Rattus norvegicus: one gene and its partners. The protein of the gene in region 1 interacts with the protein of each later gene in a biochemical or structural test. Links are inferred from orthologs where the notes say so. Each region holds a gene or a part of one and is shown in the gene's direction. Other genes may lie near its edges.

Region 1 (5,996 bases):
GGAGGATAGGCAAGGCGACACATGGAGGGGAAATCTGGATGTAGAGTCACACTCAAGCTAAGAGTGACTCTAGGAGACCGTGGAGTCTCTGGGAGCCAAGTAAGGCATACATACATAATACCTTAGGACTTTTTGAATTAATACATTTGATATGTGCCCATGTTTGAGCCATCTTGCCAGGAGTAATAAGTATATGGAAAGGAGTTTAAGGAATCTTTGTATCTCAAGTGGAAACCATAGACCTGTTCCTTTCTTTAGGAGAAAAAAAAAACCCAGCTACTTTAGGATAGAAGGGCACTACCAGCCTCATGCATGTAAGCATGCTTCCTATCGCTGAGACCTCATGCATGCTAACTGCCTCTGTCAGCCGCATGCATGCCAGGTTAGGCATGCTTTCTGACAAAGCACTAGGAATATTTTCAATCTTGGCAGAAAATACAAAAAGAGAACTGAAATATGCTGGCTTGGTTACATCTGTACCCTTCTCTCTCACTTTCAGATTCCTTATGGCAAAAAGTATGATAAAATGTGGCTTCTGAGCATGATTCAGAGCAAGTGCAGTGTCCCCTTCAACCCCATTGAGGTAAGGCAAAGTTAGACCTGAAAGGCTGTGGAAGGGCCTGTGGACTACAAATCTAATATTCTTTGTTTTCCTTCTTCCAGTTTCACTATGAAAATACACGGGCCCAGTTTTTTGTGGAAGATGCCACTACCGCTTCTGCATTAAAGGCTGTCAACTATAAGATTCAGGATCGAGAAAACAGAAGGGTATGAACAAAGGGCCTGGCATGGCACAGTTGGCACTGATGCGCTAAAAGGGACTAAGTCTTAGTGCTGGTGATTAGGCTTCCCTCAAATACACTCTTGCCTTTCTGTCTTCTCTTCAGATATCTATCATCATCAACTCTTCTGCTCCACCCTATATTGTACAGAATGAACTGAAGCCTGAACAAGTAGAGCAGCTCAAGGTAAGGCTGGCTCAAGTGACAATGGTCCAGCAGACTTTAAATCTCCATCGGTGACCACTAAACCCTTTGTCTTCCTTTAGCTGATCATGAGCAAACGATATGATGGCTCCCAGCAAGCACTTGACCTCAAGGGCCTCCGCTCAGACCCAGGTATGACTGACAGCAATGATCCTGACTAAATGGAGAGGGGGACAATTGGTCTTTATAACACTGGTATGAGCAAGCCCTCTCAGACTTCCTTTTTTTTCCTGCTTGCTAAAGATTTGGTGGCCCAGAACATCGATGTTGTTCTAAACCGTAGAGGCTGTATGGCAGCCGCCCTGAGGATCATTGAAGAGAACATTCCTGAGGTGAAGCTTCTTTTTTTTGCATTAGAAAGCAGAGTGAGATGGGTAGGATAGGATGAGGGACAAATTTGCCTTGTGGTAACACATCTAAACTTTGTTCTATTCACAGCTATTGTCTTTGAACTTGAGTAACAACAGGCTGTACAAGCTTGATGACATGTCCAGCATTGTACAGAAGGCACCAAACTTAAAGATCCTGAATCTCTCTGGAAACGAAGTAAGACGGATCCCTAGTGGTACTTTGGTTTAATGGTTACTGGTTATGAATGGGTGGAGGCAGACTGTATGGGAGTTGGTTCTTCCCTTCCTCCCACTGTGAGTTCTTGGACTGGAACTTGGGTTGTGAGATGCTCACAAGGCAGGAGCTTCTGCCCACTGAGCCATCACACTGACCCTTGGCTGTATTTCTGTGGTGGTGGAGAGCGAGAACAGTTTGGCTGGCCATGGTGGGAAGCAAGAAAGAAAACTTAGGTTGTATTTGGAAACATGGGGATCCAGCTGCTATCCTTAGTAAAGTCCGTTTCCTGCCTCTTTTCTTCCCTCATCCTTCACAGTTGAAGTCCGAGTGGGAATTAGACAAGATAAAAGGGCTGAAGCTGGAAGAGCTGTGGCTTGACAGAAACCCCATGTGTGACACCTTCCTAGACCAGTCCACCTATATCAGGTCAGTTGTAGCCTCTGTCTCCCCTCCTGGGGACATTCACCCCCTGGGAGGCTGAGCTAATGCACCCTGACCAGTACCCGTCTACAGGAGAACATGCAGCCCTGAGCTGGAACCACCTGTCCTTTGGGAGGAGGATCCCGTACTCCTTTCTGCCTGTCAATGTCTCCTAGCTTTGTCCTAGATCTCCTCTCCTTTCTTCTCACCTGACTACTATATTCTGATTCTCTGGCCTTTCTCCTTCCTTCCTGAACACAGCCTTTTCTAGAATCTCCCTACCTGTTATTCCAGGAAGGATACCTCTTCTTTTCTGTTCTGATGTGGAGGTGTCTTATATATGTCCTACCTGTGTGTTTGTCTTCAGCCAAAAGCCTAGAGTACTCAGACTGAGAAAGCCCTCTCTTACTGAGATGGGCCTTCCTTCCTTTGCCCTTCGATGGTCCCTCTTGCCGTTGTACCAAGAGGGACTCTGTTTTCATGACACACTTAGCCAGGGCTGTTGCCTGGTCCTTCCTGCCCATGACGAGGTTGGTGCCTCTTGCAGGCTGGCACCATGCTAGTGGTCTCTCTTGCCTAGTGCTGTGAACTGGGCCCTTCCTGGAGAAGAAACCTGGGTTCCCTAAGATGTGACCAAAGCCAGGGACCCCGCCAGCAGGTGAGGGGATCCCAAGGCAAATGCTGGGCGTGGAGGCCATAGGGGCATCTGCTACCAAGGAGACAGAGAAATGACCCTGTCAGGGGCATGGCTCCTCCCTCACTCGCACACCTCACGTCACCCTGCTTGGCCCCGGAGATGGCTGGTTAGCCAGAGACGGGTAAGATTCCTCAGGGAAGGAACAACCTAAGACAGGCACAGTCGCATAGGGGCCATCAGGAGAAAACTTGGGGGCCAACTGAGGTGGGGCACAGACCCTCACCCCCCCAACTCGGCAGAGGCCTGAACCCTTCTGAGGGAGGTCTCCTGACCCCATGGCTGCTTTACCTCCCACGCCCAGCTCAGACCGGGACCCATGGAGCAGACAGAGACCTGGCCAACAGCAACTGCAAACCATTATAGGACTTATTCTCCATTTCTACCTTGGGACCACAGGAAAGGGGCAGCTGAAGGAAAGGGCTGTATCAGGAGGTCTTTCTTTCTACCATTCTTTTCTGAATGCCTCTGCCTTCAGGTCTGTCCCTGTTGCTTTACTTCCTCTTTGTCTCTCCATCTCTCTTTTGTCCTTGCCCTACCTTTCTCCATTTCTCTTCTTTCCCTTGGTCTCTTTTCTTTCCTCCTTTCTTCTTGAGCCCTGTCTTGTTCATCTCCTTGCCCCAACATCCCGTGCCATACTTGTGGTGTGTTCTGGTCTTGGCGAAGGCCAGACCTGGCAGAACTGGTGGATACCTGGTGAGGCAGCAGAGCCCCTGGGCTCCCACCCCATTCCCTCCTCCCGGGGCTGCACAGGTGAGTAGGTGGAAGGTAAGGGGGGAAAGGTGGGGAAGGCAGCCCTAGGCTTAAAGCCTGGGCTGAGAGTGTCCTTCTGTGGCACTTGGGATCAGGCAGTGAGACAACAAAGTCAGCCTTCAAGGCAATTCAGAAGGGGTGCCCCTGGTGAGGAGGGGAATGGGTGTTCTTGTCCCCAAGTTTAATTTAAGCTGGGGAGGAGGGGGCGATGTACAGGATGGGATGGGCTGTTCCTCGGGTTTTTGGTGTATTTGCTCCTAGAGCAGCCCAGGAGGCATGATGGCTCTGAAGCGTCTCTCACTTCTGTCCCGTTCTTGACAGCACCATTCGCGAACGATTTCCCAAGTTATTACGCCTGGTAAGTTTAATACTGTTCTCAGTAGCAAGGACAGCCAAGGTCTTGCCTCTATTTTGTGACCATCCATGTAGGTGTGGAGATTTCTTTGAGAATCTGCTAACAGTGGAAATCATCATCCTAGAAACGCTTGTTGACAAAGTTTATATAGGATCCCTGTATACTCTCCATGCTTTAGCTTTTCTGTATGCTTACAAATCCCGTCTTTGTTCTGTTTCTCATGTTACATTCACTTCTTTTTACAGGATGGCCATGAGCTACCCCCTCCAATTGCCTTTGATGTCGAAGCCCCTACTATGTTACCACCCTGCAAGGTCAGAATTGGGCTTAGAATTAGAGCTGTGTGTCGGATACATACTGGTCCTGTGACCCTAACATCTTGTTTGATTTCAGGGAAGCTATTTTGGAACAGAGAACCTAAAGAGTCTGGTCCTGCACTTCTTGCAGCAGTAAGTTTCCCAGGAGCCCTTAGTGCTGGGGATAATGGCTGGTCTGTGCGTACTCACTGCTATATGTGTCCTTTTGGTTCCAGACACAGAATTCAGACTCTTTAACTTTCCTTACAGGTACTATGCAATTTATGACTCAGGAGACCGCCAGGGTCTTCTGGATGCCTACCATGATGGCGCCTGTTGCTCGCTAAGCACTCCTTCCAACCCTCAGAACCCTGTCCGGTAAGTGTCACATGTCAGAACCTATCCAGAACCAAAAGATTATTTGGGAGATACAGGCCACTGATCTGACCACCACCATCATTCCCTCTTATTTTCCAGACACAACTTAGCCAAATACTTCAATGACAGCAGAAATGTGAAGAAGATTAAAGATACCAGTAAGTTTATTGTGTGTGCAGTCAAAATGGGAATCAGTAGAGCTAGCCAGTGTGGATGTGCCCTAACCGTGGTTTCCCTTCCTTCTGCTTGTAGCCACGCGGTTCCGGCTATTAAAGCATACACGTCTTAATGTCGTTGCCTTCCTCAATGAGTTACCTAAAACTCACCATGACGTTAACTCCTTTGTGGTAGATATAAGTGCCCAAACAGTAAGTACATATGTTTTCCTAATGAAGCTCAGAAGTGGGGTCATGAGTTCAGCATTCACTGGGTAAGGAGGCTCAGGCTCCGGGTTGGGAACCTCCATTACTTCGGGTGCTTTTTCTCTTTCAGAGCACATTGTTGTGTTTTTCTGTCAATGGAGTCTTCAAGGAAGGTAAGAATTTTGAGTTCTGAACCTTTCTCAGTATCTTTAGTTTCCTAGCTGACTTCTCATCCCTTTTCTTCTCCGACCTCTGTCCTATTTTGCCCAGTACATCTTGGTTTGGCCTTAAAACTCTTCCACCTGTCTTACCTGCAGTATGACAAAAACCTGGGGACCCAAACAGTGTAAGCGTAAGAGTCAGGCAGGTCTCCATTTCTTTTTTTTTTTTTTTAAAGAATTATTTATTTTATGTATATGAGTACACTGTAGCTGTCTTCAGAGGGCATCAGATCCCATTATAGTCGATAGCCACCATGTGGTTGCTGGGAATTGAACTCAGAACCTCTGGAAGAGTAGTCAGTGCTCTTAACTGCTGAGCCATCTCCCCAGCCCAGGTCTCCATTTCTGTCCCTGTGTTAATGCTGTGGGTCTGGGAAAGTTGCAATACCTTTGAATCTTGTTCTTTTTTCTGTTTTGTTAGATGATTTCATAATACTTTTGCACAGTGGTACTTCAGGAATGATTTCAGGCACTTTGCCAAGCTAGGCTAACACTTTTAAATTGTTTTACTTCCTATAGCACACAGCAAATTCTGTTATTATCTGATCTGTCCCTTTATCCCACCTCTGTTTCCTTATGACCAAATAACCCTCCTTACCTGACCAAGTTAGGAGTCTCTGTGTCAGACACCGTGGTGTGAGTGATAATTGTAAGATCAAGCCTGAATGGCTTAAGGAGCCATTGCCACACTTCTCTCATTGCAGTGGACGGGAAGTCTCGAGATTCTTTACGTGCTTTCACGAGAACGTTCATTGCTGTTCCTGCCAGCAATTCAGGGTAAGTACTCAGCTTATCAGTTTGGGTATTATTTTCAGTCCCAGGGTAGCAGTGTGATAGCTGGAAGGTAGAGATATTCCTTAGGTAGTTTTCAGAATTGCAGAAAAGCAATAGAAGTTTATGAAGTGAATAGCAACTCTTGGTGTGTTAGGGAATGAAAGGGAACATGGGAGGGAGGGGCATGTGG
Region 2 (6,644 bases), on another chromosome or scaffold:
GTGCAGAACCTCACAGTGATGTCATAATAATCTGAAATGGAAATAATTTTCTTGAATAGACATTATAGTCCAGACCTTATTTTTCTGTTTAGAGGGTAAAATAAATACATAAAACGTCAAAATTTCCTGTACTTGCCATCTCTGAATATTCTATTGACTGGAGCTTTTTTACTTTTTGAAAAATAAACAAAGACTAATTTTCAGTCCAGGTTGGGGTTAGAGGAAACTGTATTTCACGTGTAATTAGTGGCTATTCTTCGCTTGTTTGCTGATTTGTAATTGATGAATGGTTACCATGTTAAATGGGAGAATAGAACAAATGTTAGCTGGGTCTCTATTGGCAGAGAGACCAGGGCAGTAATCGTTTTTCCATGAATTGAGACATATTGTTTGTTCTGCCTCTAAAACCCAGTCTAGATATAACGTGGACTTCTTGGGTGTCACAGTTTTCTGCAATGAACCAACCACACAAATATGAGAGTTGTATTTTTTTCCTCTCTAAATAAATATGCAGGAAATGAATTAAATAACTGAGATCAAGCCTAAACGGGATATGGACTTTTTTCATGAACCCTCAAATTCTATGTTTCTTTTCTTTCTTTCTTTTTCTCTTCTTTCTATTTTTTTTTTTTTTTTACTTTTGTCTGACTTCGGTCAAGTTCTTTGACATAACCTTTCCTTTATTTCTTCATTCTTTCCTGTCTTTGAGAGATAGGTTCTTGCTGAGCAACCCACAGTCCTCCCATCTTGTCTCGAAGGTAAGGTCCGGTCTGATGTTGCTTCTTCTCACCGCTTGGCTGTGGGGATTCTCCCTTCTAGGAAACAGATGCTAGCCTATGCTGGAGACTTGATTCTGCTGGGATGAGAAGGAGAGCTGTAATGAACAGTTCTGCTTGTTCAGTAGTTTTGGGGGACAAGAACATACCTGGAGAGTGTAGGCAGATTGGGAGGGGAGGATACTGAAGACGAGGACATGAATTCCCTTGATCATCTTCGGTGACTTGTCTCAGGGATGAAGGTTCTACACAGACTGTACCAAGAGGCTACTGAAGGGGCTTTGATGTGCTAAAAGGTACTATAAGTTCAAAGGTACTGTAAGTTTTATTAATTTGATTTCAATAGTGATTTGAATTGTACACTTTGGGGGTGGGCTGGTGCAAAAGTTCATGGAGATTGCTTTCGGTAGCTGATTTCTGGTTGGTACTGAGCGCTTTCGGTCTGTACAGCTATTGTAAGCAGAACCATGTTTCCGTTGAGGTAAATATTCATTCTGTTTGCAGATGAGGAAAGAGAAGCTTTGAAAGAAGATCAGTAATCTCCCCAAGGCCACACAGCTAGTAAGTGACAGATTTAAACAATCTATTTGATTTTATAGTTATACACTTTAGAACACTGTTCTCTAATAGAACATTAAGTCGACGATTTTTTTCATAAGCGATTCTTTTTAATCATTTATTTATTTCATGGAAAAACTGGCTTATAGTCCTTCCTGGCTTTGAATGCCCAACTCCATATCCACCCTCTTCCTCTTCATCCCCCCCCTCCCCCCCAAAGACAGTTCTCTGTGTAGCCCTGGCTGTCCTGGAACTTGTTTTGTAGGCCGGGCTGGCCTTGAAGTCACAGAGATCAACCTGCATTTGACTCCTGAATGCTGGGATCAAAGGCGTGTGTCACCAGCCAAACCGATACCCTTAATGGTACCTCTTAAAGTTTCTTGGTTTCCATATAGTCCATTGAAATGACTAGGCTGGATCACATGACCACACAGACCTTTTGTCTAATGCCTGCATCTTTGACACCGTTTATTCAGCCTTTGAGGGTACAGTGTTTAATTACCTTCCAAACTATAATACTAACTGAAGCAAATATGTTTACTAGGAATGTATGAGTCATCCTTAATGTGTGTTGATTGCATAGGTTATAATTGCAATCATTTACTACGTTTCTTGTATACCAGGAAATCTATTAGTGCTCTACACAGATGACTGACCGCACTAGCTCCCCACAACTTTATAAGGTGGATTTTAAAGCTCCTAGCTGGTAGTCATCCAAGGTCAAGTCTGTAAGTAGTGAAGGAACTCAGACTGCAAACACCGTGCGCGTTGATAACAAAGCTCTTATATGATTAATGAAACAGTAACGAAGTTGTATTTTTTGCTTTTGTTGAGACAGTATCTCACTATGAAGCTGAGGCTAACCTCTAACTAGTGCCAAATGCCAATCAGAAGCCAAATGCCTTTTCTACTTGTTTTAGGCCTAGGGATCACGGCCACTGTTAATTTTAAAAGCGTTTTTTTTTCTCTCATATTGTGACAAATTATCGTTCTTTGATTTTTACTGTTTACTTCCATTCCGCTTATAATTGATGAATGGGAGATTACAGTTTTCACGTCGAGTGCCATTCTGAATCTAAACCGCCAACTGCCGCCAAATGACCGGGGCTTTGTGCCTCTGCGGAGCTCCGCGGGTGTCCTTCCGCCGCAGCCTTCCTTTCCGAGAATCCGCGCTCTTGCCAGAAAAACTATATTTCCCAGAGGCACCAGCGACAGAGAGCGCGGGCTCGGCCAACCCTTCCTTCCTTTGCCCATCCCCCCACATCGTCGCAGCGTGATGACGCAGACGCGTCGGTCGCTGAGGAGTGACGGTGTTCTGGCTCGCGACCGCGGCGGCCGCCTCAACAGCGGTAATAGGCGCAAGAGCGGCGGCGACGACGACTGCAGGGACGACGACGGCGGCGGCGGCGGCGGCGGCGGCGGGGCGGGCGCAGCGCGCACAGGGGAGGGGTTGGCGGGCGGCGCCGGCGGCCTGGACTGCGGCAGCGACGGCCAGGGCCGCTGAAGAGGAGCCTCCAGCAGCGGGCGGTCGAGCTAGGCCTCAGCGGTGCCCGGAGCTGCTCGCGCCGGCCTCGGCGGGAGATCTCCATAGAGACGGTGACAAACACAAACGCGGGGGTCCGCACGCGGCCGGCGGTCCTCAGCCAGCTCACGGCCTTCAGCCGCCGCCACTGCCTTCCTCGCCGCGCGAACTCTCATTTCCCGCTCGCTCCCTCGCGGTTCTCGCTGTGTCTGTGTGTCGCCTAGGGCCGGGCGGGGGAGGCCCTCAGGCCGCCGCCTCTGCCTCTCCCGCCCGGGAGCGGTAGTGGGAGGTCGCCCAGGCTCCGCCATGGCCTCAGGAGCCGGAGGCATAGGAGGGGGCGGCGGCGGCGGCAAGATCCGGACGCGTCGTTGCCACCAGGGGCCGGTGAAGCCTTACCAGCAGGGGCGACCCCAACACCAGGTACGGGACCAGCACGCCGCCAGGACTGGGCGGCTCCGGGTAGCCGCTCTGGGGGGCGGTGCGAGGCCCCGGCGCCCCACGTGGAGGGGACCAGAGGGCCTGAGACAGGGCCGGGGTGGCGACGGGAAGTGGGTAGAGCCTGGCCAGGCCTGGCGTCGCACACGTGGGGTGCGAGCGGCCTCTCCCAGCCCTCCCGCCCAGGGGCTTTCCCCGGCGGGCGCAGGGCGGGAAAAGAAATTCCAGGCTTCTGATACTCCGGCTTCTTTTTTGGCGGGTTTTGGGGTTTTGATGGTATTACTCACGACCTCGCGAGGGAACAAGGGAAAGATGTGGCAACAGGCCTATCCGCTGGCAGGCTTTTTCTTTCTGATGTTCCCGGGTTTAGGGTGCGTGGGGAGGTTAATCTGCCACCGGGGCCGGGAGAGACTTGGGGAGGGGGCGCTGTTACCCGGATAGTGGATTAATTCCGTTTTAGCCATATTTAATCTTAAATGATAGTGATAGTTCAGTCCCCTCGTCTGCCTGCTTGGCCTTTCCAGATCTGAACACACTGGTTTAGCTTCTCGTCCTTTCCTCTTTTAACTGAGTTATAGTTATGTGGCACTGAGGCGTTTTGAAAGTCCCTCGCCGCTCTTACGTCTGGTCTCTGATGCGCGATTCTTCCCTCTCCTCTCCACCCCGCTCTGTATTCTGAAGACCAGAATCAGCCATTCTCTACAGTTCACCAGAGATCAACTCTTATCTTATACACCAAATATTTTTTAATACTGGGCATTTTCTAGAAGTGTAAGGTATTTTGGACTCTCTAGGAGTGTTGGTAATCTTATAGGTTAAGCCACCGTATGCCTTCTTAGGGTGTTTATAAAAATGTCGATTTCTGTTGTAAATGAGATATTCGGTTCAGAAAAAAATTTGAGTTTTTAGAAATTGTGAGAATTAAAATGTTAAAAATCCACTTTAACAAAGCCACTTTTACAGGGCCTCGTGTACTAAAGTAGGAAGTGTGTATTTTAAGCTTATTGAAGAAGGGCTAGTAAATAACTTGTTGCGTATTCGTAAATGTAGATTTTTCTTGTTTTATCCTGGCTAGTGCTAAAATTGAATACTTAGCGTTTTTGTTTGGTAATGTTAAATTATATCACTTTCGGGATTTTAAAAAGTAAAGATAGGTAAAATTTTGAATAGTAAAAGCTGTGGTTTATATACTGAGAAGTTATTTGTCCTTGGTTGGAAGCCTTGGCATATTACCATTTTCCCTAGATGTGTGCAGAATGCTGAGGCGCCAGGGGTATTATTCCCAAGCAGATTTTTAAGACGAAGATTTCCCAAGCCTGGCCATTTTACTTTACCTGACACTGTACAGTGGACATTAAGACAAACATACTTTTCTCCTAAGAGTAACGAATCACCTGAATGCTTGTTAAAGGAAAATGAAAACAATTTGAGCAGAGAAATGGATGGCTTGGCTAGAGTTTAGAAAGAAGTCAATATTGTGATATTATGATAGAGTTTAGAAGGAAACAAAAGTTATGATCACAACTTATTTTAAAATGTATTTAGATAAAAAAACTAATTTGAGAGAGAAGTTGAGCCAACTAAAGCCCAATGTGTTTTAGAGCTGATCCAGATTTCAGGTTGTATAGTTTTAGGGCTCAGTAGTTAAGCTGTAACTTATGTAATGTTAGCTTCTTGCCTCAGTCATTTAAAAAGTAAATACATCTTTGACCTGGAATTAAAGATAACTTTCTTGATTTGCTGATTTAATATTGGCAGAATCAACCGAAGAAAAGTATTCGGGATTATATTAAAGAATACAGCTCAGTGTTTGTTTCTGTCTTAAAGTAACTAGTCTTACCTGGAACTTAGTGGATGTCATTGTCCTCTACTAGCAGAGCTCGTCAGCTGGTTTTTTCAGCAGCTGCTGAGTCATCTTGGGTATAGTGAGGAGCTTCATGACATGGCATGTTTCATACTGATGTTTGATAAGTGTCCAGATCTCTGAGCAGAATAAAACCTTTGGTTGTGTAGTAGAAGGTTAGAAGAAGTAAGCAGTGGTGCTATTGGTGGATGCAGGGCAGCAAATGTCTGGCCAAAGAGCTACTGCAGTCACACAGTAGTACCTGTGGCTCCTGTCTCATGTTCAGCTGACTTCTGATTTCCTGTTTTGACTTCTGGTTTAGGTCTTCTGGGAAATGTCTAAACTTTAGCATTTTTCTACTTTTAAGTTTTCTTTTAAAAAAAGCTACCTTGTTTGAAGTTGTCGAACTAGAAAGATACTGTCTTGATCAACCAAATAAAAGTAACAGTTGAGTGTAGAGATAGCTGGATATAGAGGTGCATACCTGAGATCACAGCTGCTAAGAGGCCGAGGCCAGCCTGAACTGTAGGCTGTCTTCAAGAAGTGTAGAAGTAAGAGAGGATGCTGGATGGTTATTTTCACCTACCCCGTTAGCCAGGTACTTTTTAGCTTTTTTTTTTTTTTAAGACAGGGTCCTTCTGTGTGGCTCAGGCTGACCTTAAACCTGAGACCTTCCTGCTTAGATCTCTTGCTTACTTAACCCAGATACTTTTAAAAAACGCATAATTTTCTAGTTGGGAGTTCTTTTCTCCTGTTTAGTCTCCTTTCCTATGTCCATTGTGTGTAGCAAGGCTGCTTTTTTTTTTTTTTTTTTTTTTTTTGGTTCTTTTTTTCGGAGCTGGGGACCGAACCCAGGGCCTTGCGCTTCCTAGGTAAGCGCTCTACCACTGAGCTAAATCCCCAGCCCGGCTGCTTTTTTCCTAATAGATACCACATACACTTGAGCTCCTGAGCAAAACTTACTTCTGGAAGAATCTGTTGCCACATCCTGGTGAGACAGACCCATTTGCTTTTGTCCCTCCCCTCCTTTGGTGCTCCCCTGGCTTGGAGCAAAGGGATCTACTTTTCATCCTTACAGAAACAGGGGTGGCTGATAGCCTGACCATCCTGGTTTAAATCAGTGACTGCGCTCAACTGTTTAAAAGCTGGGGAGGGAAGGAGTTCTCTTCCATCAATATTTTACATCAAGGGTTGATGAATCTTTTATGAAGAAACAAAGCTCTTTTGAGGCTCTGTAGCTGCAGTTTTTTTTTTTTTTCTTTTCTTTTCTTTTCTTTTTTTTTTCGGAGCTGGGGACCGAACCCAGGGCCTTGCGCTTGCTAGGCAAGCGCTCTACTGCTGAGCTAAATCCCCAACCCCGAGCTGCAGTTTTTTTTTAAAAAGGATTATTGGCAAATATTAAAACCATTTTTAGCTTTAAGGTCAGGTCAAAGACTAGATTGGCCCACAGTCACTGGAATCGTAGAACCCGGTTTGTGATAGGATACTTTTTGTTTATTTTGGTACTTGA
Region 3 (6,702 bases), on another chromosome or scaffold:
TGCTAATTCCAGAGCCTCCGCCCTGCGCCTAAGAGCAATTTCTGTAATAATTTCAATAAAATGTAAGCATGTATATGCAACACACAATTTTTAAAACGACAATTGGTAGTTTATTATACACATATTTCTCTGATTGATGGCATTTATGCTAACGGTCTTTTAAATATTATTTTTGCAGGCCTGGAGAGGTGGCTCAGGGGTTAAAAGTACTTGCTGCTCTTACAGAGGACACAGTTTGTTTTCCCAGAGGCCTATGTTGGTGACTCACAACCCTGTAATTCCAGCTTCTCTGGGGCTCTATCACCCTCTCTGGCTTCTCTGGGGATTAGAACACTAACATACATGCAGATATTCACATAAATATTTAAAGACAGGGTCTCATTACATAATCCTGGCAGGCCTAGTATTCACTATATAGATAAGGCTGGTCTTTTTTTTTTTACTCAAAGTGCTTATGTACACAACAGCATTTATGCCACTAGAGCAGAGGCTGTGATGACTCCTATTTCCTATTGGGTGGGAGCATACACTTAGTCTTATAGTATGGAGCCAACCGGTGAATTCTGCTCTCTATCGGAATCAGGCGGAATTTAGCATCCTTATCCTTTCTGTTCCTCTCAAGGTGCATTCGGACAGCAACTGCTTTCTTAATCAAATGGTAGAGATCCTCAGGAAGATCATGGGCATGGCCTTTGGACTTAAGGATTCTCAAGATTTTATTTCTAGTCACAAAAGAACTGACCTGTGCCGCACCATGTGAGTCCCTCAGGCTCACACCTATCTGGGAGGGAGTTAGGCCTTTCTTGGCCGACTTGTAAATTTGTTCCTTCACGTCATCAGACATTAACTTCAACCACTTCAGGATGCAGGGCTTAAGTGGATGTAGGGCAGAGCCGACTGGGACAGGCCCTTGCCGGAGCCTACATGATGGCGGAGATCTGGCAGCAAAGAGCAAATCTGGCCTTGAATTCAGCAAGATCTGTCTGCTTCTGCCTTTCACGTGGTAGGATTAAAGGGGTACATCACCAGGCCTGCTAAAATCTTTAAAAGAATATTTTTTTTCCGGTTCTCTCTTGCTCCTCTCTTGCTCTTGCCTTCCTGCCCCCAATCTCTCCTCCCCATTCCCTCCCTCGCCCTGCTCTCCACATGCTCATGGCCAGCCTCAACTTCTCTCTCTCTCTCTCTCTCTCTCTCTCTCTCTCTCTCTCTCTCTCTCTCTCTCTCTCTCTCCTATCCTCTTAACTCCCCTCCCCATGCCCTGAATAAACTCTATACTGTGCTTTAAAAAAAAGAATATTTTTCCACTAAGAATTGAACCTAGAGCTTCACTTAGGTGCCCAAGGTTCCTGAACTGTGTCTCCAGACTTCTTTTGTGTGGGGTTGGTTTTAAGACAGAATCTCACCAACTTATCAAGTTACTCAGGCTAATGAAGAATTTATGATCCTTACCCTCAAGAGTAGCTGGGATATAGGTGCTCCAAAAGCCACACAACAGCAACTTTTAATACAAGTATGTCTATGCTTTATAGTATTTTGGGGTTTATAATTTACCTATCAGGCTTCTTTCAAATCTTTTTGATGTAATCAAGAGATTTTGGACCAAGTATTCACCAATTTCAAGATTATATACTAACAAAACAAATCGGCTGAAATAGGGCTAATCAGGTTGCTGTATCTAGTCTTCAAATAGCTTTTAAATTTAGAATTAAGGGTTTTTTTTGGGGGGGGCATTCTTATCACCTTGTAAAATGTCCTGTTTTAAAACACATTCTCAACTCAGTCTTAAAAGATGGGAATACCAGAATCTTTCTAATGTCTTCAAGGTACATATTTGGGGAGACTGCAAAAAAGCCTATTTCGCGGTTGGGGATTTAGCTCAGTGGTAGAGCGCTTGCCTAGCATGCGCCAGGCCCTGGGTTCGGTCCCCAGCTCCGAAAAAAGAAAAAAAAAAAAAAAAAAAAGCCTATTTCCCCTCACCAGGAGGTAAGCACCAGTGGTATAGACTATCCATCTTTTTTTTTTTTTTTTCTTTTTTTCGGAGCTGGGGACCGAACTCAGGGCCTGGCGCTTGCTAGGCAAGCGCTCTACCACTGAGCTAAATCCCCAACCCCTACCCATCTAATCTTATGATCACCAGTATTACACAAGCTTACGAGACTCCTTACAGATGCATGGGGTCACCGAAGTTGGTGGCGGGGAGACGTTTAGATTTGAATCAGGGTTAAAGGAGTCAAAGGAGGGGGATCTAGGAGGGGACAAGGTGGCCATGTTACTGGATCCTAATATGGATTAATCGGAGTGCTGAGGTCCAAGAAACGAGATAAATGTAGTACCCGCACAGTGAGAAGCGTTACATATTAAAGCTAAGCACAGCTACCTTTCACAAATCTTTTATGAATGCAAATCCTACACATTTTCACAACATAAATCAGGAAGCAAAAAAGGCCTGCAAGTGGTCCTGCAGGTCAGACCAGTCGGTAGGCCCGGAAGCCCGGAGTGTAGGTCACTGCCGGGCCCAAGGCGGCCAGGGCTGCGCTCTGTTTCCTATGTCCGCGGGCGGGCTGTGACTCGGTACCGCCCAGGGCGTCAGCGTGACCCGAGGCTCAGTGAACCCTGAACTCACCGCCCCAGCCAGCCGCACAGACCGGGGCAGGCGCTTTCTCGCGCACGGGGGTGGGGCTTTTTCAGGCTGCTAACTAAGATGGTGTCGGCTGGACTTCCCGGGACAGCTGCCTAAGCGGATCGAGGGCCAGCAGCCGGAAGGACCACCGAGCCCATTGTCCCGCCCAGACAGGACAGTGCGGAGCCCGCAAGTTCCAGACTCGAAGGACCGAAGCACAGGCAAGTACGCCGTAGGACCTAACAAATGTTTAAGAGAACGCCGAAAGCGCGGGGAGGCGGGCCTGACTCACTGTCACCGTCTCGCGACAGCTAAGTGACGTCGCACAGCAAGCGCGTGGTAGAGTCTTTCACCTTCAGACTCCTCAGTTTATGGGCCTACTCCTTTAAGTGAGTGATGGACAGCGCTTTTATCCAATCATTTTCCTCGTCAACATCCAATCAGATTTAAACTTTATTCAGCCGCCGGAGAAGTTGGAAGACTGGGGTTGAAAGAGAGCGAGCGAGTGAGCGAGCGAGCTCTTTGTCTCTCGCGAGATCCGAGAGAGCCAAGTTCTCAGGGAAAAACGCCTGAACTGATGTCCAGACTTCCCAAGTAGTGATTTAAAGGACGTGGCCATAAACCAATGAAAGGGAAGAGAAGGTGGGATCGCTGCTTTCGCCGTGCTAGAAGTACCGTTACAGGGCAGACTTTTTGTCCAATCAACGCTTCTAGGCTTTGGGTCAGGTGACCATGAAGTGCGAGGGGCGGAGCTACAGCCTGGCGCGAGGAACCGTTAAGATAGACAACGAATATAACCAATGAGGTACTGCGATTAGGGCGTTGGGAACCCAATAACAGCGTCGGGGCGGGCGCCTTCCCGGAGCGCGGGGAGATGTAAAGACGGACAAATAGTTTTTCCAATGAGAAAGCTGAAGAGTGAATTAATTGACCAATGAGGTCTGCGGGGCGGGAGCCTTTGCCGCGGCGGAGTCCAAGATGGCGGCGTGCGAGTCCGCTGTGTGAAACGAGCGCGGGGTGGCGGGTTAGTCAGCTCCGCAGAGACGACCTCCGGCGACCCTCAACAATGAAAGGAAAGGAGCGCTCGCCAGTCAAGCCCAAACGCTCCCGTGGCGGTGAGGACTCCAGTTCTCGTGGGGAACGGAGCAAGAAGTTAGGGGGCTCTGGCGGCAGCAATGGGAGCAGCAGCGGGAAGACGGACAGCGGCGGGTCGCGGCGGAGCCTTCATCTGGACAAGTCCAGCAGCCGAGGCGGCAGCCGCGAGTATGATACCGGTGGGGGCAGCTCCAGTAGCCGCTTGCATAGTTACAGCTCCCCAAGCACCAAAAATTCCTCAGGCGGGGGCGAGTCGCGCAGCAGCTCCCGGGGTGGAGGCGGGGAGTCACGTTCCTCTGGGGCCGCCTCCTCAGCGCCTGGCGGCGGGGACGGCGTGGAGTACAAGACCCTGAAGATAAGCGAATTGGGGTCCCAGCTGAGTGACGAAGCGGTGGAGGACGGACTGTTTCACGAGTTCAAACGCTTCGGTGATGTAAGTGTCAAAATCAGTCATCTCTCAGGTTCTGGCAGCGGGGATGAGCGGGTAGCCTTTGTGAACTTCCGGAGGCCAGAGGACGCGAGGGCGGCCAAGCATGCCAGAGGCCGCCTGGTGCTCTATGACCGGCCTCTGAAGATAGAAGCCGTGTATGTGAGCCGGCGCCGCAGCCGCTCCCCGTTAGACAAAGATACTTACGCCCCGTCGTCCAGCGTGGTCGGAAGCTCTGTAGGTAGCCACAGGCACGCCCCTGGAGGAGGTGGAGGTCAGAGATCGCTTTCTCCTGGCGGTGCTGCTTTGGGATACAGAGACTACCGGTTGCAGCAGTTGGCTCTTGGCCGCCTGCCTCCTCCACCCCCGCCACCATTGCCCCGAGAGCTGGAAAGAGAACGAGACTATCCGTTCTATGACAGAGTGCGGCCAGCATATAGTCTTGAGCCGAGGGTGGGAGCTGGAGCAGGTGCTGCTCCATTCCGAGAAGTGGATGAGATATCACCTGAGGATGATCAGCGTGCCAACCGGACACTTTTCTTGGGCAACTTAGATATCACTGTGACAGAAAATGATCTGAGAAGGGCTTTTGATCGTTTTGGAGTCATCACAGAAGTGGACATTAAGAGGCCTTCTCGTGGCCAGACCAGTACTTACGGCTTTCTCAAATTTGAGAACCTAGACATGTCTCACAGGGCCAAAATAGCAATGTCTGGCAAAATTATAATTCGGAATCCAATCAAGATTGGTTATGGGAAAGCCACACCCACTACCCGACTTTGGGTGGGTGGTCTGGGACCTTGGGTGCCTCTTGCTGCCCTGGCACGAGAATTTGATCGATTTGGCACCATTCGAACCATAGACTACCGAAAAGGTGACAGTTGGGCATATATACAGTATGAAAGCTTGGATGCAGCTCATGCTGCCTGGACCCATATGCGTGGATTCCCACTTGGTGGCCCAGATCGTCGCCTTAGGGTAGACTTTGCAGACACAGAACATCGTTACCAGCAGCAGTATCTTCAGCCTCTGCCCTTAACCCATTATGAACTAGTGACAGATACTTTTGGACATCGAGCACCTGACCCTTTGAGGAGTGCTCGGGACCGGACACCACCCTTACTATACAGAGATCGTGATAGGGACCTTTATCCCGATTCTGATTGGGTGCCACCCCCGCCACCGGTTCGGGAACGCAGTGCTCGGGCTGCAACTAGTGCCGTCACTGCTTATGAGCCACTGGATAGCTTGGATCGAAGGAGGGATGGCTGGTCACTGGACAGGGACAGAGGTGACCGGGATTTGCCTAGCAGCAGGGACCAGCCAAGGAAGCGAAGGCTGCCTGAGGAAAGTGGAGGACGGCATCTTGATAGATCACCCGAGAGTGACCGGCCTCGAAAACAGCGTCACTGCACTCCTTCTCCTGACCGAAGTCCAGAACTGAGCAGTAACAGAGATCGTTACAACAGTGACAATGATCGATCATCTCGTCTTCTACTCTTGGAAAGGCCTTCCCCAGTCAGAGATAGACGGGGCAGTTTGGAGAAGAGCCAGAGTGACAAACGAGACCGTAAAAACTCTGCATCAGCTGAACGGGATAGGAAGCACCGGACAGCTGCTCCCACAGAGGGAAAAACCCCTCTGAAAAAGGAAGACCGATCTGATGGCAATACACCCAGTGCCAGCACTTCTTCATCAAAGCAGAAGCCACCTTCCCAGAAACAGGATGGAGGGACAGCTCCTGTGGCAGCATCCTCTCCCAAACTCTGTTTGGCTTGGCAGGGCATGCTTCTACTGAAGAACAGCAACTTCCCTTCCAACATGCATCTATTGCAGGGTGACCTCCAAGTTGCTAGCAGTCTACTTGTGGAGGGTTCCACTGGAGGCAAAGTAGCCCAGCTCAAGATCACTCAGCGGCTCCGTTTGGACCAGCCCAAGTTGGATGAAGTAACTCGACGCATCAAAGTGGCAGGGCCTAATGGTTATGCCATTCTCCTAGCTGTACCTGGAAGTTCTGACAGCCGATCCTCCTCTTCCTCAGCCACATCAGACACTGCCGCCTCTACTCAGAGGCCACTTAGGAACCTTGTGTCCTATTTAAAGCAAAAGCAGGCAGCTGGGGTGATCAGCCTCCCTGTGGGAGGCAATAAAGACAAGGAAAACACCGGGGTTCTTCATGCCTTCCCACCTTGTGAGTTCTCTCAGCAGTTCCTGGATTCCCCTGCCAAGGCACTGGCCAAATCTGAAGAAGATTACCTGGTCATGATCATTGTCCGTGGTGCGTCCTAAAGTCCATGTGTAACTTGTATTTACTACTTTGACATGGTTCCTTGTTTTGTGATGTGTAATGGGATACAGCATCAGATGAAAATTTCTTTCATTTAGTTTAGTTGGTTTTTTTTTATATATATATTTTTGTAAACCTCCTTAAAATAGATAATGGGGCAGTTTAGTTATTAAGTGAAAGGGATGCCCTGAAGGTAGCAGGAAGATAGATTTGCTTTAATTAGGAGTTCTTACCCTGATAATTTTTCTTTTTCTTCAGGTTTTTTATTTTTTC

What was found.
Region 2: the proteins of Nxf1 (region 1) and Nup153 form a complex in vitro, tested with the Homo sapiens proteins (2 studies listed by BioGRID and IntAct). The link is inferred for Rattus norvegicus from reciprocal best matches to the Homo sapiens genes NXF1 and NUP153.
Region 3: the proteins of Nxf1 (region 1) and Rbm15 form a complex in vitro, tested with the Homo sapiens proteins (2 studies listed by BioGRID). The link is inferred for Rattus norvegicus from reciprocal best matches to the Homo sapiens genes NXF1 and RBM15.

What each region holds. Positions count from the first base shown.
Region 1 is NC_086019.1:215,089,957-215,095,952, forward strand, and holds part of Nxf1 (nuclear RNA export factor 1), read left to right. Parts: intron 1-499; coding exon 500-583; intron 584-663; coding exon 664-768; intron 769-887; coding exon 888-968; intron 969-1,048; coding exon 1,049-1,118; intron 1,119-1,229; coding exon 1,230-1,318; intron 1,319-1,424; coding exon 1,425-1,532; intron 1,533-1,869; coding exon 1,870-1,979; intron 1,980-3,741; coding exon 3,742-3,778; intron 3,779-4,020; coding exon 4,021-4,089; intron 4,090-4,168; coding exon 4,169-4,224; intron 4,225-4,341; coding exon 4,342-4,449; intron 4,450-4,548; coding exon 4,549-4,607; intron 4,608-4,701; coding exon 4,702-4,817; intron 4,818-4,941; coding exon 4,942-4,984; intron 4,985-5,736; coding exon 5,737-5,809; intron 5,810-5,996.
Region 2 is NC_086035.1:18,175,828-18,182,471, forward strand, and holds the start of Nup153 (nuclear pore complex protein Nup153), read left to right. Parts: upstream 1-2,628; 5' UTR 2,629-3,162; coding exon 3,163-3,276; intron 3,277-6,644. UniProt on the Homo sapiens protein: Component of the nuclear pore complex (NPC), a complex required for the trafficking across the nuclear envelope. Functions as a scaffolding element in the nuclear phase of the NPC essential for normal nucleocytoplasmic transport of proteins and mRNAs.
Region 3 is NC_086020.1:197,638,682-197,645,383, reverse strand, and holds the start of Rbm15 (RNA-binding protein 15), read left to right. Parts: upstream 1-2,686; 5' UTR 2,687-3,554; coding exon 3,555-6,420; intron 6,421-6,702. UniProt on the Homo sapiens protein: RNA-binding protein that acts as a key regulator of N6-methyladenosine (m6A) methylation of RNAs, thereby regulating different processes, such as hematopoietic cell homeostasis, alternative splicing of mRNAs and X chromosome inactivation mediated by Xist RNA.